Xenopus tropicalis: one gene and its partner. Each later gene encodes a partner of the first gene's protein in a complex. Links are inferred from orthologs where the notes say so. Each region holds a gene or a part of one and is shown in the gene's direction. Other genes may lie near its edges.

Region 1 (10,440 bases):
CTGAATCAGCAAAACTACTATAACCTGCAGGGACTGGGCACAGGGGGAATTATCAGCCCCCCCAGCTGGACTGGGCACAGGGGGAATTATCAGCCACCCCAGCTGGACTGGGCACAGAGGGAATTATCAGCCATCCCAGCTGGACTGGGCACAGGGGGAATTATCAGCCATCCCAGCTGGACTGGGCACAGGGGGAATTATCAGCCCCCCCAGCTGGACTGGGCACAGAGGGAATTATCAGCCATCCCAGCTGGACTGGGCACAGGGGGAATTATCAGCCCCCCCAGCTGGACTGGGCACAGAGGGAATTATCAGCCCCCCCAGCTGGACTGGGCACAGAGGGAATTATCAGCCATCCCAGCTGGACTGGGCAGCAGGGGGAATTATCAGCCACCCCTGCAGTGGACCTGGATGCACAGAGGGAATTATCAGCCACCCCAGCTGGACTGGGCACAGAGGGAATTATCAGCCATCCCAGCTGGACTGGGCACAGGGGGAATTATCAGCCACCCCAGCTGGACTGGGCACAGAGGGAATTATCAGCCATCCCAGCTGGACTGGGCACAGGGGGAATTATCAGCCACCCCAGCTGGACTGGGCACAGAGGGAATTATCAGCCACCCCAGCTGGACTGGGCACAGAGGGAATTTATCAGCCCCCCCAGCTGGACTGGGCACAGGGGGAATTATCAGCCACCTCAGCTGGACTGGGCACAGGGGGAATTATCAGCCACCTCAGCTGGACTGGGCACAGGGGGAATTATCAGCCACCCCAGCTGGACTGGGCACAGAGGGAATTATCAGCCACCCCAGCTGGACTGGGCACAGAGGGAATTATCAGCCCCCCCAGCTGGACTGGGCACAGAGGGGAATTATCAGCCCCCCCAGCTGGACCTGGGCACAGAGGGAATTATCAGCCACCCCAGCTGGACTGGGCACAGAGGGAATTATCAGCCCCCCAGCTGGACTGGGCACAGAGGGAATTATCAGCCCCCCCAGCTGGACTGGGCACAGGGGGAATTATCAGCCACCTCAGCTGGACTGGGCACAGAGGGAATTATCAGCCACCCCAGCTGGACTGGGCACAGAGGGAATTATCAGCCCCCCCAGCTGGACTGGGCACAGAGGGAATTATCAGCCACCCCAGCTGGACTGGGCACAGGGGGAATTATCAGCCACCCCAGCTGGACTGGGCACAGGGGGAATTATCAGCCACCCCAGCTGGACTGGGCACAGAGGGAATTATCAGCCACCCCAGCTGGACTGGGCACAGAGGGAATTATCAGCCACCCCAGCTGGACTGGGCACAGAGGGAATTATCAGCCCCCCCAGCTGGACTGGGCACAGAGGGAATTATCAGCCCCCCCAGCTGGACTGGGCACAGGGGGAATTATCAGCCACCTCAGCTGGACTGGGCACAGAGGGAATTATCAGCCACCCCAGCTGGACTGGGCACAGAGGGAATTATCAGCCACCCCAGCTGGACTGGGCACAGAGGGAATTATCAGCCCCCCCAGCTGGACTGGGCACAGGGGGAATTATCAGCCATCCCAGCTGGACTGGGCACAGGGGGAATTATCAGCCATCCCAGCTGGACTGGGCACAGGGGGAATTATCAGCCACCCCAGCTGGACTGGGCACAGGGGGAATTATCAGCCCCCCCAGCTGGACTGGGCACAGAGGGAATTATCAGCCACCCCAGCTGGACTGGGCACAGAGGGAATTATCAGCCCCCCCAGCTGGACTGGGCACAGGGGGAATTATCAGCCCCCCCAGCTGGACTGGGCACAGGGGGAATTATCAGCCACCTCAGCTGGACTGGGCACAGAGGGAATTATCAGCCACCCCAGCTGGACTGGGCACAGAGGGAATTATCAGCCACCCCAGCTGGACTGGGCACAGAGGGAATTATCAGCCCCCCCAGCTGGACTGGGCACAGGGGGAATTATCAGCCATCCCAGCTGGACTGGGCACAGGGGGAATTATCAGCCATCCCAGCTGGACTGGGCACAGGGGGAATTATCAGCCACCCCAGCTGGACTGGGCACAGGGGGAATTATCAGCCCCCCCAGCTGGACTGGGCACAGAGGGAATTATCAGCCACCCCAGCTGGACTGGGCACAGGGGGAATTATCAGCCACCCCAGCTGGACTGGGCACAGAGGGAATTATCAGCCACCCCAGCTGGACTGGGCACAGAGGGAATTATCAGCCCCCCCAGCTGGACTGGGCACAGGGGGAATTATCAGCCCCCCCAGCTGGACTGGGCACAGGGGGAATTATCAGCCACCCCAGCTGGACTGGGCACAGGGGGAATTATCAGCCATCCCAGCTGGACTGGGCACAGGGGGAATTATCAGCCCCCCCAGCTGGACTGGGCACAGGGGGAATTATCAGCCATCCCAGCTGGACTGGGCACAGGGGGAATTATCAGCCATCCCAGCTGGACTGGGCACAGAGGGAATTATCAGCCACCCCAGCTGGACTGGGCACAGAGGGAATTATCAGCCATCCCAGCTGGACTGGGCACAGGGGGAATTATCAGCCACCCCAGCTGGACTGGGCACAGAGGGAATTATCAGCCACCCCAGCTGGATGGTTGGGCTACTTCCAAAATGGCTTTTGGCTAGTTTGGGGCTGGTTTTAGAACTGACTGGCTGGTTTGGAAAAATAAATATATATATGTGTATAGGGATTAACCTTTATTGCAGTACAAGTCCAGGGGGTTCCCCCTTCCCCTATCGGTGGCCCCCATGCATAGAGCTATAGGCATAACAGGGAATATTACAGGGAAGGGGTTGAACATGATGGGACAGAGAGGGGCTACAGGCACGTGTGGGGCAACATATGGGGCTGAGTTGGACCAAGATGGAGTCCAGGAATCTGTAGGAGAAACAAACCCCCTTATGTAATGGCGCAAACAGTTACTTTTTCATCATATTTTCTGACAAACTGATATTTTAATTGAATTTGTTCATTAATGACTTGAGGTCAGTGTAAGCGGTGTATCTGTGTTTGCTGATGAGATGTAGCACTGAGCTTCACTCCATTTTGAAAATGGCGGGAAAATGCCCTTTAAAAGACAGTCTTTCTTTCCCCACAAATGGGAAAGTGGCGGCTGAGTTGGAATTTAGGCAGATTTCTGTGAGAAAGTGTTTCCGCCAGTTTTCCCACCACTTTTACTGCAAAGAAGACCTCTCTCCCCTCTGTGACTCCCCCCCCAGAGAATGTTGATAAATGGAGGATTCCCCCTACTATAACAGCCCCCCTAGTTATATAGGGCTTGGGGCAAGCAGCAGGCTGTAACCCTGAGTGTTTCAGTCAGTCGGTTAGGATACACCAACCGCCAATATGCAGAAGACAAGATTACGAAAAAACACCCTACAAGTGGGAGGAGGAAGGATAGCTCAGTGGGTAGGGTGCCCGCCTTACACCGATGGGCCCTGAGTTCGATTCCCGCCCTGGGAGCCCTGCCTACATCAATGGGGCTCAGCTCGGATACCCAGTGGGTAGGTGTCAGAACTGAGCCCATTGATATCAGCAGAGCCCCCAGGGCAGGAGTCTAACTCAAGACCCATAAATGTAAGGCAAGCTATGGCAGCACCCACCCACCCACTGGGCCCCTTACCTTGTGACCATGGACAAAGTCACTTAACCTCATAATGTCCCGGCAATGATGGCGCCTAGAAATGGGCAGCACGTTGCTGACTTTTTAATCACTGGCTACATTCACATTTCCCCACAAATTGATAAGTTAGCTGAGCTACAGCGCAGGGGCAATGGGGATTCCCAGTACCCAGAGGCACAAACAGCCCCCCCCCCCAGCCCAATAAATAGTGACTGTCTGTGGCACCTTACAGCCCCCCTGGCATTCCCAGTACCCAGAGGCACAAACAGCCCCCCCAGCCCAATAAATAGTGACTGACTGTGGCACTTTACAGCCCCCCTGGCATTCCCAGTACCCAGAGGCACAAACAGCCCCCCCCCCCAGCCCAATAAATAGTGACTGTCTGTGGCACCTTACAGCCCCCCCTGGCATTCCCAGTACCCAGAGGCACAAACAGCCCCCCCCCCAGCCCAATAAATAGTGACTGTCTGTGGCACCTTACAGCCCCCCTGGCATTCCCAGTACCCAGAGGCACAAACAGCCCCCCCCCCCCAGCCCAATAAATAGTGACTGTCTGTGGCACCTTACAGCCCCCCCTGGCATTCCCAGTACCCAGAGGCACAAACAGCCCCCCCCCCCAGCCCAATAAATAGTGACTGTCTGTGGCACCTTACAGCCCCCCCGGCATTCCCAGTACCCAGAGGCACAAACAGCCCCCCCCCAGCCCAATAAATAGTGACTGACTGTGGCACCTTACAGCCCCCCCGGCATTCCCAGTACCCAGAGGCACAAACAGCCCCCCCCCAGCCCAATAAATAGTGACTGTCTGTGGCACCTTACAGCCCCCCTGGCACTCCCAGTACCCAGAGGCACAAACAGCCCCCCCAGCCCAATAAATAGTGACTGTCTGTGGCACCTTACAGCCCCCCTGGCATTCCCAGTACCCAGAGGCACAAACAGCCCCCCAGCCCAATAAATAGTGACTGTCTGTGGCACCTTACAGCCCCCCTGGCATTCCCAGTACCCAGAGGCACAAACAGCCCCCCCCCCCCCCAGCCCAATAAATAGTGACTGTCTGTGGCACCTTACAGCCCCCCTGGCATTCCCAGTACCCAGAGGCACAAACAGCCCCCCCCCCAGCCCAATAAATAGTGACTGTCTGTGGCACCTTACAGCCCCCCCGGCATTCCCAGTACCCAGAGGCACAAACAGCCCCCCCCCAGCCTAATAAATAGTGACTGTCTGTGGCACCTTACAGCCCCCCTGGCACTCCCAGTACCCAGAGGCACAAACAGCCCCCCCAGCCCAATAAATAGTGACTGTCTGTGGCACCTTACAGCCCCCCTGGCATTCCCAGTACCCAGAGGCACAAACAGCCCCCCCAGCCCAATAAATAGTGACTGTCTGTGGCACCTTACAGCCCCTCTGGCATTCCCAGTACCCAGAGGCACAAACAGCCCCCCCAGCCCAATAAATAGTGACTGTCTGTGGCACCTTACAGCCCCCCTGGCATTCCCAGTACCCAGAGGCACAAACAGCACGGAAGCGGAAGTACAGACCTGCCAGGCTGAGGGCTCAGTGGGGGGATTGCCCGGTTCCGGTCAGTGAATGACCCCCATGCTAGGGAAGGTATGAGGCCTGTTAGTTACTGTAGAACCCGGAAGGGATAAGGGCCAGAGAACAAATTTGCCACATCCACACAAAGGGTTAAGCAAAGCGGCACCAAAGCTGAAGGCCTAGCGCCCCCTGGTGCCAATGGGGTGGGAGCTCTGCGTTTATTTATAGCGACAAAAGTTTACGGAACAAAAATGAAAATCCCGGCGGTTGCCCAGGTAACGCCACGCCCCCAGCTTCCTACTTCCTGTTCTCTGCAGCCCTGGCTCCACCCGGAAGCGGAACTATTGCCTAAGGAGTGCGGCTCCCCCCGGTCATGTGACAGAGAGGCTCGGCTGGCCAGAGCGGGCTGGCCCGGTTCGGTTGGACATGGGCTGTTGCTACAGCGGGGAGACTGACACCGGCAAAGGGGTGAGGCACCGGGGCTGGGGGGGGGGCAGTAACTTTCACTGGGGGGTAAATGGGGCACCTTGTCCTGCTGCATCACGTGACTCCTGCCCTTTAAAGGGAAACTACTTTCTGCTCTTTCCCACAGTTTCACTCACTTTACTGCTCTGTGTGAGTAAGGGCCGCAGTACCCCATGGGCAGTGGGTGGGGCTAGAGCACTGTGATAGCAGCCTATAGGGGGAGGCGCAGGGAGTCTGTAGGGCAAGCAGTGGGTGGGGCTAGAGCACTGTGATGGAAGCCTATAGGGGGAGGGGCAGGGAGTCTGTAGGGCAAGCAGTGGGTGGGGCTAGAGCACTGTGACAGCAGCCTATAGGGGGAGGGGCAGGGAGTCTGTGGGGCAAGCAGTGGGTGGGGCTAGAGCACTGTGACAGCAGCCTATAGGGGGAGGGGCAGGGAGTCTGTAGGGCAAGCAGTGGGTGGGGCTAGAGCACTGTGATAGCAGCCTATAGGGGGAGGGGCAGGGAGTCTGTGGGGCAAGCAGTGGGTGGGGCTAGAGCACTGTAATAGCAGCCTATAGGGGGAGGGGCAGGGAGTCTGTGGGGCAAGCAGTGGGTGGGGCTAGAGCACTGTGATAGCAGCCTATAGGGGGAGGGGCAGGGAGTCTGTGGGGCAAGCAGTGGGTGGGGCTAGAGCACTGTAATAGCAGCCTATAGGGGGAGGGGCAGGGAGTCTGTGGGGCAAGCAGTGGGTGGGGCTAGAACACTATGATGGAAGCCTATAGGGGGAGGGGCAGGGAGTCTGTGGGGCAAGCAGTGGGTGGGGCTAGAGCACTGTGATGGAAGCCTATAGGGGGAGGGGCAGGGAGTCTGTGGGGCAAGCAGTGGGTGGGGCTAGAACACTATGATGGAAGCCTATAGGGGGAGGGGCAGGGAGTCTGTGGGGCAAGCAGTGGGTGGGGCTAGAGCACTGTGACAGCAGCCTATAGGGGGAGGGGCAGGGAGTCTGTAGGGCAAGCAGTGGGTGGGGCTAGAGCACTGTGATAGCAGCCTATAGGGGGAGGGGCAGGGAGTCTGTGGGGCAAGCAGTGGGTGGGGCTAGAGCACTGTGATGGAAGCCTATAGGGGGAGGGGCAGGAGTCTGTGGGGCAAGCAGTGGGTGGGGCTAGAGCACTGTGATGGAAGCCTATAGGGGGAGGGGCAGGGAGTCTGTGGGGCAAGCAGTGGGTGGGGCTAGAGCACTGTGACAGCAGCCTATAGGGGGAGGGGCAGGGAGTCTGTGGAGCAAGCAGTGGGTGGGGCTAGAACACTATGATGGAAGCCTATAGGGGGAGTGGCAGGGAGTCTGTAGGACAAGCAGTGGGTGGGGCTAGAACACCTTGATAGCAGCCTATAGGGGGAGGGGCAGGGAGTCTGTGGGGCAAGCAGTGGGTGGGGCTAGAGCACTGTGATAGCAGCCTATAGGGGGAGGGGCAGGAGACTGTGGGGCAAGCAGTGGGTGGGGCTAGAGCACTGTGATAGCAGCCTATAGGGGGAGGGGCAGGGAGTCTGTGGGGCAAGCAGTGGGTGGGGCTAGAGCACTGTGATAGCAGCCTATAGGGGGAGGGGCAGGGAGTCTGTAGGACAAGCAGTGGGTGGGGCTAGAACACTGTGATGGAAGCCTATAGGGGGAGGGGCAGGGAGTCTGTAGGACAAGCAGTGGGTGGGGCTAGAACACCTTGATAGCAGCCTATAGGGGGAGGAGCAGGGAGTCTGTGGGGCAAGCAGTGGGTGGGGCTAGAGCACTGTGATAGCAGCCTATAGGGGGAGGGGCAGGGAGTCTGTAGGGCAAGAAGTGGGAGGGGCTAGAACACTGTGATAGCAGCCTATAGGGGGAGGGGCAGGAGTCTGTGGGGCAAGCAGTGGGTGGGGCTAGAGCACTGTGATAGCAGCCTATAGGGGGAGGGGCAGGGAGTCTGTGGGGCAAGCAGTGGGTGGGGCTAGAGCACTGTGATAGCAGCCTATAGGGGGAGGGGCAGGGAGTCTGTAGGGCAAGCAGTGGGTGGGGCTAGAGCACTGTGATGGAAGCCTATAGGGGGAGGGGCAGGGAGTCTGTAGGGCAAGCAGTGGGAGGGGCTAGAACACTGTGATAGCAGCCTATAGGGGGAGGGGCAGGAGACTGTGGGGCAAGCAGTGGGTGGGGCTAGAGCACTGTGATAGCAGCCTATAGGGGGAGGGGCAGGGAGTCTGTGGGGCAAGCAGTGGGTGGGGCTAGAGCACTGTGATAGCAGCCTATAAGGGGAGGGGCAGGAGTCTGTGGGGCAAGCAGTGGGAGGGGCTAGAGCACTGTGATAGCAGCCTATAGGGGGAGGGGCAGGGAGTCTGTGGGGCAAGCAGTGGGTGGGGCTAGAGCACTGTGATGGAAGCCTATAGGGGGAGGGGCAGGGAGTCTGTAGGGCAAGCAGTGGGTGGGGCTAGAGCACTGTGATGGAAGCCTATAGGGGGAGGGGCAGGGAGTCTGTGGGGCAAGCAGTGGGTGGGGCTAGAGCACTGTGATAGCAGCCTATAGGGGAGGGGCAGGGAGTCTGTAGGGCAAGCAGTGGGTGGGGATGGAGCACTATGATGGAAGCCTATAGGGGGAGGGGCAGGGAGTCTGTAGGGCAAGCAGTGGGTGGGGCTAGAGCACTGTGATGGAAGCCTATAGGGGGAGAGGCAGGAGTCTGTGGGGCAAGCAGTGGGTGGGGCTAGAACACTGTGATAGCAGCCTATAGGGGGAGGGGCAGGGAGTCTGTGGGGCAAGCAGTGGGTGGGGCTAGAACACTATGATGGAAGCCTATAGGGGAAGGGGCAGGGAGTCTGTAGGGCAAGCAGTGGGTGGGGCTAGAGCACTGTGATGGAAGCCTATAGGGGGAGGGGCAGGGAGTCTGTGTGGCAAGCAGTGGGTGGGGCTAGAACACTGTGATGGAAGCCTATAGGGGGAGGGGCAGGGAGTCTGTGTGGCAAGCAGTGGGTGGGGCTAGAACACTGTGATGGAAGCCTATAGGGGGAGGGGCAGGGAGTCTGTGGGGCAAGCAGTGGGTGGGGCTAGAACACTGTGATTGAAGCCTATAGGGGGAGGGGCAGGGAGTCTGTGGGGCAAGCAGTGGGTGGGGCTAGAACACTGTGATGGAAGCCTATAAGGGGAGGGGCAGGGAGTCTGTGTGGCAAGCAGTGGGTGGGGCTAGAGCACTGTGATGGAAGCCTATAGGGGGAGGGGCAGGGAGTCTGTAGGGCAAGCAGTGGGTGGGGCTAGAACACTGTGATGGAAGCCTATAGGGGGAGGGGCAGGGAGTCTGTGTGGCAAGCAGTGGGTGGGGCTAGAACACTGTGATGGAAGCCTATAGGGGGAGGGGCAGGGAGTCTGTGTGGCAAGCAGTGGGTGGGGCTAGAGCACTGTGATGGAAGCCTATAGGGGGAGGGGCAGGGAGTCTGTGTGGCAAGCAGTGGGTGGGGCTAGAACACTGTGATGGAAGCCTATAGGGGGAGGGGCAGGGAGTCTGTGTGGCAAGCAGTGGGTGGGGCTAGAACACTATGATGGAAGCCTATAGGGGGAGGGGCAGGGAGTCTGTGGGGCAAGCAGTGGGTGGGGCTAGAACACTGTGATGGAAGCCTATAGGGGGAGGGGCAGGGAGTCTGTGTGGCAAGCAGTGGGTGGGGCTAGAACACTGTGATGGAAGCCTATAGGGGGAGGGGCAGGGAGTCTGTAGGGCAAGCAGTGGGTGGGGCTAGAACACTGTGATTGAAGCCTATAGGGGGAGGGGCAGGGAGTCTGTGGGGCAAGCAGTGGGTGGGGCTAGAACACTGTGATGGAAGCCTATAAGGGGAGGGGCAGGGAGTCTGTGTGGCAAGCAGTGGGTGGGGCTAGAACACTGTGATGGAAGCCTATAGGGGGAGGGGCAGGGAGTCTGTAGGGCAAGCAGTGGGTGGGGATAGAACACTATGATAGCAGCCTATAGGGGGAGGGGCAGGGAGTCTGTGGGGCAAGCAGTGGGTGGGGCTAGAGCACTGTGATGGAAGCCTATAGGGGGAGGGGCAGGGAGTCTGTGGGGCAAGCAGTGGGTGGGGCTAGAGCACTGTGATGGAAGCCTATAGGGGGAGGGGCAGGGAGTCTGTGGGGCAAGCAGTGGGTGGGGCTAGAACACTATGATGGAAGCCTATAGGGGGAGGGGCAGAGAGTCTGTAGGGCAAGCAGTGGGTGGGGCTAGAACACTGTGATGGAAGCCTATAGGGGGGAGGGGCAGGGAGTCTGTGTGGCAAGCAGTGGGTGGGGCTAGAGCACTGTGATGGAAGCCTATAGGGGGAGGGGCAGGAGTCTGTGTGGCAAGCAGTGGGTGGGGCTAGAACACTGTGATGGAAGCCTATAGGGGGAGGGGCAGGGAGTCTGTGGGGCAAGCAGTGGGTGGGGCTAGAACACTGTGATGGAAGCCTATAGGGGGAGGGGCAGGGAGTCTGTGGGGCAAGCAGTGGGTGGGGCTAGAACACTATGATGGAAGCCTATAGGGGGAGGGGCAGGGAGTCTGTGGGGCAAGCAGTGGGTGGGGCTAGAGCACTGTGATGGAAGCCTATAGGGGGAGGGGCAGGAGTCTGTGGGGCAAGCAGTGGGTGGGGCTAGAGCACTGTGATGGAAGCCTATAGGGGGAGGGGCAGGAGTCTGTGGGGCAAGCAGTGGGAGGGGCTAGAGCACTGTGATGAAAGCCTATAGGGGGAGGGGCAGGGAGTCTGTGGGGCAAGCAGTGGGTGGGGCTAGAACACTGTGATGGAAGCCTATAGGGGGAGGGGCAGGGAGTCTGTAGGGCAAGCAGTGGGTGGGGCTAGAACA
Region 2 (10,510 bases), about 110 Mb from region 1:
ATTTATTTACATTAGGTATTTTCTTCCCGAATAAAGCATGTTCTGGGGATTTGGGTAGGTTAACTCCTGTTACTGAGAATATCATTTCGTGGACCCTAGTCCAAAATCTTTGAACCCTGGGGCACTGCCACCATATGTGATAAACCGTGCCTTCCCCTCTACAGTTTCTGAAACATTGCGTTGTATTGTATTGGTTGTTTATTTTATGTAGCCTAGCTGGGATCAGGTACCAACGTAAAAGGACTTTGTATCCCGCTTCCAGCAGGGCAGTGTTAATTGAGCTATGTGCTGCTTGGTCCCATATTTTAAGCCAATCCTTTTCATCAATTGTGTGACCCAGATCTTTTTCCCAGGAGGGTCCCAAGTTTTAATGCAGCACTAAATAGACACACATGTAGACATTTACAGGCACCAGCATCAGGTGTTTTGGGAATTATTCTGCACATATTTGTCCCAATTTAAGGTGCAAGTCATTTGGGAGTGTAGCAACCTGCTAAGGAAACCAAGGAAATAATTTATAAAGATAGGTGAAAATGCAAAACATCCCATGTGTCTGTATAATCAGTTGCACCCAAATTGCCATCACAGACACTTTGCCACTAGGCACATATTGAAAGGAGTGTGCCATACTCTGCCTTCCCTACCCTGCCTGTGTTTGCCATACTCTGCCTTCCCTACCCAGCCTGTGTGCACCATACTCTGCCTGCCCCACCCTGCCTGTGTGTGCCATACTTTGCCTTCCCTACCCTGCCCTGCCTGTGTGTGCCATACTCTGTCTGCCCTATGCTGCCTGTGTGTGCCATACTTTGCCTTCCCTACCCTGCCTGTGTGTGCCATACTCTGCCTTCCCTACCCTGCCTGTGTGTGCCATACTCTGTCTGTCCTATGCTGCCTGTGTGTGCCATACTTTGACTGTGTGTGCCATACTCTGCCTTCCCTACCCTGCCTGTGTGTATGGCACACACAGGCAGCATAGGGCAGGCAGAGTATGGCACACAGGCAGCCTACAGTGACACAATGCTGCCACTGCTCCTACAGTCTGCACAATAACTATATATTAAAAAACTTTTTAATTGCAGTACCACCTCAGTATAAGTTCTTTTTATAGTGTATACTGCAGGGGGTGAACAATGTAGGGATTAAAAGGTGTGAACAACACAGGGGATTACATTTTTAAACAATACAGAGGGTTTACAGCCTGAATCTGAGGTGTTAACCATGCAGGGGGGCAGTACTGATACCATTTAAAGCTTACACAAAGGTACACCACGACATTACTTCCTAAATGTTAATGACTGGAAAAAACAAAAAAGAATGCAACTTTATGTATGGAACGTAAAATGTTTAACTGATTGCTATAAAACAATAAAAAAAAATTAATGACAAAAAAAAGCTTACACAAAGGTAAGTTGTCAAAGCAGCCAGACAGGTGGGGTCGCGGGCCGCCAGTTGGACAGCACTGAGCAAGGGTAATGGTGCAGTTGGTTGAATTCTGAATAGGGACCACCAGCAATGGTGTTTCTCCGTTTCTCTTTTCTTGCACATTGGGTATAGTAACATTAATGTTATGTTCGGTTGAAAAACCCAACATACTGTTCTTCAACTTCAGCTTATTCTTCCGCTTTTTCTTCTTCTTTTTATTCTTAGCGCTCCCCATTTTCTAAATGCTACTCCTCCTACAGTTTTAGAGGACTCCCCACACTTCTTCGCCCTATAGCGGAGCAGGTTGCTTGTGCTTTTCCAAGCGATCCCACCCCCTGTCTTGTGGCGCTGCTCCGAACCCCCTAATTTTCACATTGACTTTGACAGGGAAGATTTTCAAACTGCTGCCACTCTTACAACTTTGAAGCTACAGCCCACAAACTTAAATAATATAATAATGGGGTCACTCCGAATGAAACGGAAACATTTGTTGGATGACCCAAAATGGGAGGGGCCAACAACAGCCAATCAAATTTCACCCATTGACTTTAATGGGGAAATTGAATCTGCTGCCAGTCTTACAGATTTGAGGCTACACTCCCCAAACTTGAATCACATAGTCATGGGGTCAGCCTGAATGAAAATATGATGATTGTTGGATGCCCGAAAGTGGGCGGAGCTGTGAAAAGCCAATCAGATTTTACCTATTGACTTGGCCAAAATTCAACCTGCTGCCATTCTCACAGTAATAACGACGGGTCCCCAAACTTTGCAGAGTTAGGCTCCATTGGGCGGAGCCACCAGCAGCCAATCAAATTTCACCTATTGAATTTTATTGGTTTAATGCCAGGCTTCCCAAACTTTGCACTGTCAGTCACTTGGTGACTACGTATTCAAGTTTTGTATACGTATTTTGTTTTTTTTTAAGTGGGCAGGGTCACCAACAGCCAATCAGATTTTACCTATTGATTTTCAATGGTGAAGTGTAAAATGCAGTCCCACAATTTTTATGTCCCCAAACTTTGCAAAGTTGGTCATTGGAGACTGCAGTTCAAAAATAGCAAAACTGGGTTGGGCCACTAATAGTCAATCACAGTTCATCCATTGAATTTTATTGGTTTCAATTTAAAATGCTGCCATTCTCACACTATTTATGCCAAGGTGCCCACTGTTAGTCACTGGGTGACTTTGACTAAAGGTTAGAAAAAGCGGGCACACCCACCAACCACCATTTACAATTCACCTATTGACTTTTATTGGTTTAAATTTAAACTGCTGCCGTTCTGTAACTATTAATCCTAGGGTCCCTAAACTTTGCAGAGTTAGTCACTGGGTAACTGCAGTTCCAGATTAGAACAAATGGGCAGAGCCACCAACCGCCAATCAGATGTCACTTGTTGACTTTCAGTGGGGAAATTTAAATTGCTGCCATTTAGACACTATTAAAACCAGGGTCTCCAAACTTTGCAGAGTGTTTTTTACTATATAACTGTGGGTCCAAGGTTAGAAAAAGTGGACCAAGTCAACAACATATCAGATTTCATTCAGTGACTTTATGTTTTTCAAACCAACATGAAGTTTATTCTCAAACTTCCCTTTCTAGTTTCAGTCTTGTGAGCGTTAATTTTGTACCTCCAAAAATGAACCACAATCATGTAAAAAAATAAAGATTTCTTAAAGCGAGTTATTAACATTTTGAATGATCAATAATAAATCATCGGCAAGATGATTTAACATGAGAAATGTCAGAAATGTCTTTCCACCGGCAACAGTAGGAGTTACCTGTGGAAAGGCCTACACATAGCTTCAGCTTTCCGAAGTCGCGCAAAGCTTCCTCGTGGGCCATAAGCCTAAACGAAATATAGTAACATTACATTCGTTTGTTTGAGAGCCTCAAAAAAAGCGAAGTAAAGTTGCTCTTAGTAAAATTTTAAGCAATAGCACCATCTGCTGGTTATATCTAGTACTTATGTAATTATATTTCATTTACCTGTGTAATTTCTGTAAAACAGAACATTTAAATTGTTTGTTGCCTTGCTCCTTTTCCACAAACAAATGTTTAAGGTGGCCATACTTAAAGATCCGCTCGCCTTTCGAGGTCCCTTCTCCCGATATCCCCATCAACAGGTGGCGATATCGGGGGAATTTAGGTTAATTCGGTCATTTGGCCCTGGGGAGCCAGTCGGTTGGGGGACCACATCAACGAGCCGATACGGTCGCCGATCCAACTGAATTTTTTAACCTGCCGATCTATATCTGGCAATTTTAGGCCAGCTATCAGTCGGGCAGGCAGTCGTTGCTGCCCCTACACGGGCCGATAAGCTGCCGAATCAGTCCAAGGGACCAATATCCGGCAGCTACAATCAGCCTGTGTATGGCCACCTTTAGTGTTCAAGAGAGAGATAAGCTTGTAGCAGCCTAGAGTATTGTAGTGTTTTACCCTATTACAGCGTGACTGCAATGTGAGCTTATGTAAAGAATGTAACTGTATCTGTGTTTTCCCATATGCTAGTATAGGATGGGTTTTCTCGTAAAATATTGAAAAATCTTGACACTAAGCCGTTTGGGCCCATACCCTTAACTGTGGGAGCATCCTGTTAGAATAAATGCATGCTACTCTATGCAAGGGCACCCTCTCCTGTTTTTTATTGAACAGTCTGGCAAAAACCACCATTTGTGCCGAGTGGCACAAGAATTGAAAGTGAATAGTGATCATTTTTATATGACCCGGACATAAGTCCAATAGCATAACTCTTAGTTTCTCATTCAAAAGACCACTTCTGTCAAGCTTCTGGTTGCACTCTGCACCCTAGGCCTAATAAACAATCCAGCATGAGGTGAGGAATAACATGCAAGTTAAGGATTGGGCAGGTAGTAGTAGGGGGAATTTACATCTGTCCTTGCCCCAGTAGAGCTTTCAGTTCTTACCACATTCACAAACTCTGTGGTTATGTTTATCAATAGCCACTTAACTTAACTAAGGTGAACAAACCCTTTAATATATATTTTAGAAATATTTTATTTCCTTTGATTGAAGCCCACCACATCCATTTGGGAGAAGAAACAACGTCATGTGCAGTAACAAATCTAGAGCTCCATGGAACTGGGTGTAAAATTCACTCTGGACATTAACCCACGTGACACCCAAAGTCAGTTAACCCTCTGTAAACACTAAATTGCAAAAGGAAGTCAAGAAACCAAAATGGACAAGAATCCTACTGTCAGGCCAGTAAAAACAGTAATCAAGAAACCTATTCTCAGAGTATGTTAGCTTTGTATGAAGCATTGTGCATTGTAGCGGAACCACCATTAAGCCAAAGCATATTAATAGTATTTTTCATTCATTGATTTTTCTTAATAGCGCCAGAGCTTCAAATACTGCAAACGAAAACTCCCATTAGCCCCACCTTCTGTCTAACAGTCAGCTGACCGGGAGGGTCACATGAGCAAACACCCGGAAGAGGAACTGCTTTAAGGTTTTTTTGACAGGAAGAAGAGACTCAGCTATGGAAGCGGCTCTGGAGCAGCATTTGGAAGATACGTGAGTGCTCTGTAAACACATACTAAGGAAAATAAAATTAATTGGTTTTTTTCAATTAGTAAAATCAGGACATTTAAAGCGAAAGAACAGAAATAATTCAAACAGACAGAAATGCACTTCAGAACTTGAATTTCGTAACGTGTCTTTAAGTTTGCTGGTAATAGTTCAGATTCTCTTATTTTTAATCATTCCTACATGCGTGATCTCACTCAGGAGAGGAAATCGTGGGGGGAGGAAGCGGTGAACACTGTCACTGTTCATTCGGAGACTGGGGCATCTGGGGGAGGGGGTATAAGCATAAGTGTGAGCTATTAGTTACACAAGGTAACGACCATGTTGTTGCTGTTAGGCGGGTAGGCAGTTGAAGAGGGGATGTAAATTCGGATGCACAGATTAATTGCAAGGAAGTTGTTGGAGGGGTTTACTCGAAAAGCAGAGGAGGCCTTGGAGTTTTTGTTAGGAGGAAGCAGTGCAATATCAGGCATGGAGGTTTGGGGAGTCATGAGTTAACTGCATGTAAATCCTTATTGGGGGTGAGAAGGCTCATGAAACTGTGTAGGTGAATTGGGTGGCAGAGGTGGCCATGCAGTTATGTGTAAGGAAATGGCACAAGTGGCTGGCAGGTAGGTTATGTGAGGAGGATGATGGAGTGGAGTTGTGTAGGTGGGCAAAGTGGCATAACTGAAAGGGATGGGGGCTGTGCATGTTTTGATGGAGTCAGGCATACTGGCTCTTGTGTGGAGCTGAAACGTCGGATTAATAAAAACCATGTAAGATATTGCTAAAAAACTTTTTTGGTGAATATTAACCAAAGTCCTGTGAGTGCTAACCTTTATTGCAATTGTGTGTATATATATATATATATATATATCTGTATTCATTGGTGCGTGCATAGGTGCTCATATATACATGCGTATGTGTGTATGAAAGTGCTTATATATGTGCACATATAGACACATATATAAGTAAATATTTAGGTGCACATGTGTATATATGTGCATCAATATGTGTGTAATTGTATGTGTATATGTGCAACAACACGTGTGTACATATAGGTCTGTAAATAAGTGTATATATAGATGTGTGTTTGTGTCCAAGCAGACACACAACCATGTGGCTTCCTTGTTTGACTCTACACCTGGAATTTTACTTAACAAATACATTCATGGTCTTGATCCTCTGCTAGTGAGTATTTTCTAGTGCATGATCTGTATAGAGGTGTTTAATAAACGGGTTGCACAGATCGATCTGCCCACAGTGCGATCACATATTATTGATTCCTTAACCAAGATTCAACTTTATTTAAACACTTGATTATATTTCTGACTATTTTACTCTAATATTCTGACTTTCACGGTACATCCCTGACATCTAGCTTCATAAAAAGTGTTACTCTTCTTAGACCTTGTGGTTATTCTCTTGTACTTTCTATTTTGTCCATTTAGTATTCTTTTTTTATTGCCTGTCTATATAATTTTTGTTATTATTTATTTTTGATATAATTTTGATCTCTGTCTGGTAACGTAGGATTACGTCATCTCCACTTTTTCCCACCACTGTGTGCTTTTTAGACACTGAGTTTGTTGTATTCACCACTTTGATAAAGGCTAGAGTGCTAGCCGAAATTTTAGTCTCCTATATAATAAAACAACAAGTCCTGCGAGTACTGACACTTCCTCCAGTATATTCAATAATTTTTGGACCTGAGTGAGTGAGTGCCGGCATCTATTTGGAAGTATATATATATTTCTGAGAAAAGTTGTGTTGTTTAATACTGACACAAGAAACATCAGAGACTGACTAATTGTCTAAACTTTGCAACATCATCTTTCTTTTCCCCTGACTATAAGGACAAAATGGCAGCTATGGCCACTCTATCACTTTTTAAATTTGTTTGGTTAATCTATAATAATCTATATCTATAATATCCTATGAACTAGTAGAGATGATATAGCTGAAATAGCTTTCAGATAGGTAACCAGTATTTGTTTGGTATCTTGACACAAGTGTTTTGCCGTTCCTTACTTTTTCAGAATGAAAAATCCATCAATTGTTGGAGTTCTGTGTACAGATTCACAGGGGCTAAGTCTGGGATGTGAGTACCCTTTTACATTGGTTTTGTGTATAATATTGAAAATTGATGTAAATTGCAAAAGTACTCTGAGGAACACTCTGAGTAAGGTTAACAAATTCATTTTTAGGCTTAATTCAAATAAACAGCTGTGGAAATCCTTCCCAGAAGAGTAGAGGCTATTATAGCAGCAAACGGAGGAACAGCTTTATATTAATTACGTTGCTCTGAGAATTACCTTTGACCATTTGGTGTAGCTGCTGAACTTCCAATATTTGTCTTATGTGAAGGCTCCCTCTCCCTTTTATGGAGATTGCTATCTGTTACTCTGCAGCCAAAGTAATCTGTGAAAGAGTCAGTAGAAACAAACAGACTCTTGCATGGGGGTACTGACCCCTTTGGTAAACCCTGTTAAGTAACACAATAGGTTTTTAATCCATTGGTCACCTGGGCTGAAGGCACCATGGCCTGCACACACACAACCATGCCCCTGATCCCCTCATCATGCTTCATTAGTCCAAAACCCTGCCTACTCCATGCAAGCCCCACCCTACTTGTGTTTTTAATTCTCTTGGGGCCCCTGACAGCAGCAGACAATATATGCCAAAAGCCAAGAACAGAAGCTTCTGTACCTGCGTTGCTGAGTCTTTGTGCTCCCACCACAAAATACTCGTGATCACAAGGTTCACTTTCCCTCTGAAATCAGCAGTGGCTTAGCACTTGCAAACCTGTCCTTGAGGCTGCCTTTTTTAAAAAAAAAAAAAAAAAAAAAACAAACTTTTTTTTGGAGGTGTAGGGTAGGTTTGGGTAGGCTAATGAAAATTCTCTCATGACAATAAGCTCCACTGGGACAGACTGAAGTGAATGATATGTTAGTGCTATACATATATAAAGGGTAACATATTTTAGTGGAAAAATGTATCCAGAATATGAACAATTTAGTAAATCCTGAAAAAGTAAAGATTCTTCTCCTTAAGCCAAGTGTTGCCTTTCCATGCCCTAGTCTCTGTAGATATTTGAAAGAACCATTGCAGTGTCATGACCATGCAGTGTCATGAGACCTATACACTACAGTAGTAGGATGTAATAAGAGCCAATTACTTGAGGTGTACCATTGGTTAGCATGCATTCCTATTTAATTGTCTGTATTTTAAGATGCTTATATTTTAGAAGGTTACACTTTCTTCTTTCTAAAATGCATTATTAATGTGATTGTATTAAGTGCTTCATGTTCCACTTCTCCAGGAACTAAAACAATGCACTATAGTATTTCTACTGCTGCTCACTTGTTTTTTCAACCCCAAATCTGTCCCCCAAACTTTTAGTGGTTGAGTATTAAAAAAAAAAAAATATATATTATTTTTCTTGAAGGTTGTGGAAGCCTTTCCGATAAACATGCTGGTGTGATCTCCATTCTTCCTCAGTATGCAGCCAAACTTACGTCAGACCCCACAGATGTGCCAGTTGTATGCCTAGAATCTGACAACGGGTGAGGCCATTTTCATACAGTTAGAGAATCCAGAATATATATCTACAGGACAATAATTAAGCCATTACTTGTTTTCTTTTTGTTGTTACTTAGGTAAGTTGGGTTGCAAAAAGACCATCAAGCTCAACCCTTCCAAGTGAAGCCTAGTGCACACACATAGACCCATACTGACCTATCTATATACTTACATACATAAACTATATATACCAACATCAATACTAACTGTAGATTTTAGTATCACAATAGCCTTGGATACTATGCTTGTTCAAGACCTCATCCAGGCCCCTCTTAAAGACATTAACAGAATCTGCCATTACATCATCACTAGGAAGGGCATTCCACAACCTCACTGTAAAAAAAAAACAAAAACACCTAAGCACCTAAATGAAAGTTCCCTTCCTCTAATCTAAAGGGGTGGCCTCTAGTGCAGTGCACTGATCGTTTTGGGGTTATGGGAAAAAAACAATACCACCAATCAGTCTATAACCCCCTCTCCTTTTTTCCAGAGAAAACAACCCCAACCTTGACAGTCTAACCTCATAGTTTAAGTCTTCCTTCCCCTTTACCAGTTCAGTTTCACATCTCTACACTCTCTCCAGCTCATTAATATCCTTCTTAAGGACTGGAGCCCAAAATTGCACTGCATACTCAAGGTGAGGCCTTACCAGAGACCTATAAAGAGGCAAAATTGTGTTTTTCATCCTGGAATTAGACAACTAATCTTAAAAATCCCCAGATAATTTTCAGTCAAGAATACCCCAACACACTACCATTAAGCGTGTAACTTGCATTTATATTATTTCTACCAAAATACGTACCTTTTCAACTGCATTCTCTATTCTCTGGTTAGTGAATAGTATCACATTTACAAGCTACATTCATTTTCACCTGTTTTATGCTAGATTTTCTACAAACTAAAAAATTGTGTGTATAGAATCAAGTTAGCTGAACTAATATATGGGTAGCTTTGCCAAAACAAAACTGTAACAATGTTAATACTGGAGAACAACAGTAATTAAGGAATTGCTTTTAGGCTGACCAAAGTAATTCACAGCTGATGTCAAAGTGGGCTACACAGAAATAAGGAGCATTGCAGTAGTACAGTACAGCTTTGTTGCTCATATTGTCCTGTGTTTAACACTGGTCTAAAGTTGGCAGTGCACACAGGTATTTTTATGGCTCAACTTGGAAGAAATACTCCCTGGTACATTCACAAAGGGGCAGCAAAAGGGAATTTTGTGCAACTTTATTGAAGTTAAAGTGATACAATCAGTTTTTCAATCATGGGAATTTTGACAGTATATTTATAACATGAACCAGGGAATTGTTTTTTTTAAGGGAAAATATACTCTTTGACATGATCTCATTCAGTTGGGTTCAGTTAGAAAAGGAGCATTAACAGTATTTGAACTTCTAGAACTTTTTTACACTGACATTACACTAACTGAAAGTAAAACATGATAGTCAGCTGTTGCTGCAGGGGCCAGTTTCTTACCTACCTTAAGCTTGGCCAACGTGGAAAGAACCACCAATGAGCAGATTATTTCCCATCAGATCGCATTAGTGGTATGCAGGACATTGAGGTAAGGACCGCATCAACGAGCCAACATTTTTTTTTGCCCTAAAGGTATTTTTAAACTTGCCTGATCAACAACTGGATTATTTTTGGCCAGATATCGGTCAGGCAGGCCCCTCTGAGGGCCCCATGGATGGGCCTATAAGCATTCATCTACAGCTTTTATCTGCTTGTGTATAGCCAGCTTTAGGCTGCCAGTGATCCAATCCCTCCCTCGCATTGTTCCATTGTAAATAATAAACTACATTTAAAATGTATTTCTGGAAGTACAGATAGTATTTATACATCATGTCTACATACGGCTAATTGAATGAGCTCATGTCAAAAAGGTGTGCAAACTTTGATTTTGTTAAGCCACATTTTACCTGCTAGTGGCCCTGCATATCCTCACTGTACTCTGGGGTGCTTTTA

The links.
Region 2: lamtor1 (region 1) and lamtor5 share a complex: the UniProt entries of both Homo sapiens proteins name them as parts of the ragulator complex. The link is inferred for Xenopus tropicalis from reciprocal best matches to the Homo sapiens genes LAMTOR1 and LAMTOR5.

The regions. Positions count from the first base shown.
Region 1 is NC_030678.2:178,920,615-178,931,054, reverse strand, and holds the start of lamtor1 (ragulator complex protein LAMTOR1), read left to right. Parts: upstream 1-5,485; 5' UTR 5,486-5,588; coding exon 5,589-5,630; intron 5,631-10,440. UniProt on the Homo sapiens protein: Key component of the Ragulator complex, a multiprotein complex involved in amino acid sensing and activation of mTORC1, a signaling complex promoting cell growth in response to growth factors, energy levels, and amino acids.
Region 2 is NC_030678.2:72,303,344-72,313,853, reverse strand, and holds the start of lamtor5 (ragulator complex protein LAMTOR5), read left to right. Parts: upstream 1-4,836; 5' UTR 4,837-4,928; coding exon 4,929-4,963; intron 4,964-5,315; exon of another isoform or gene 5,316-5,483; intron 5,484-5,513; exon of another isoform or gene 5,514-5,554; coding exon of another isoform or gene 5,555-5,586; intron 5,587-6,996; coding exon 6,997-7,058; intron 7,059-8,405; coding exon 8,406-8,523; intron 8,524-10,510. UniProt on the Homo sapiens protein: As part of the Ragulator complex it is involved in amino acid sensing and activation of mTORC1, a signaling complex promoting cell growth in response to growth factors, energy levels, and amino acids.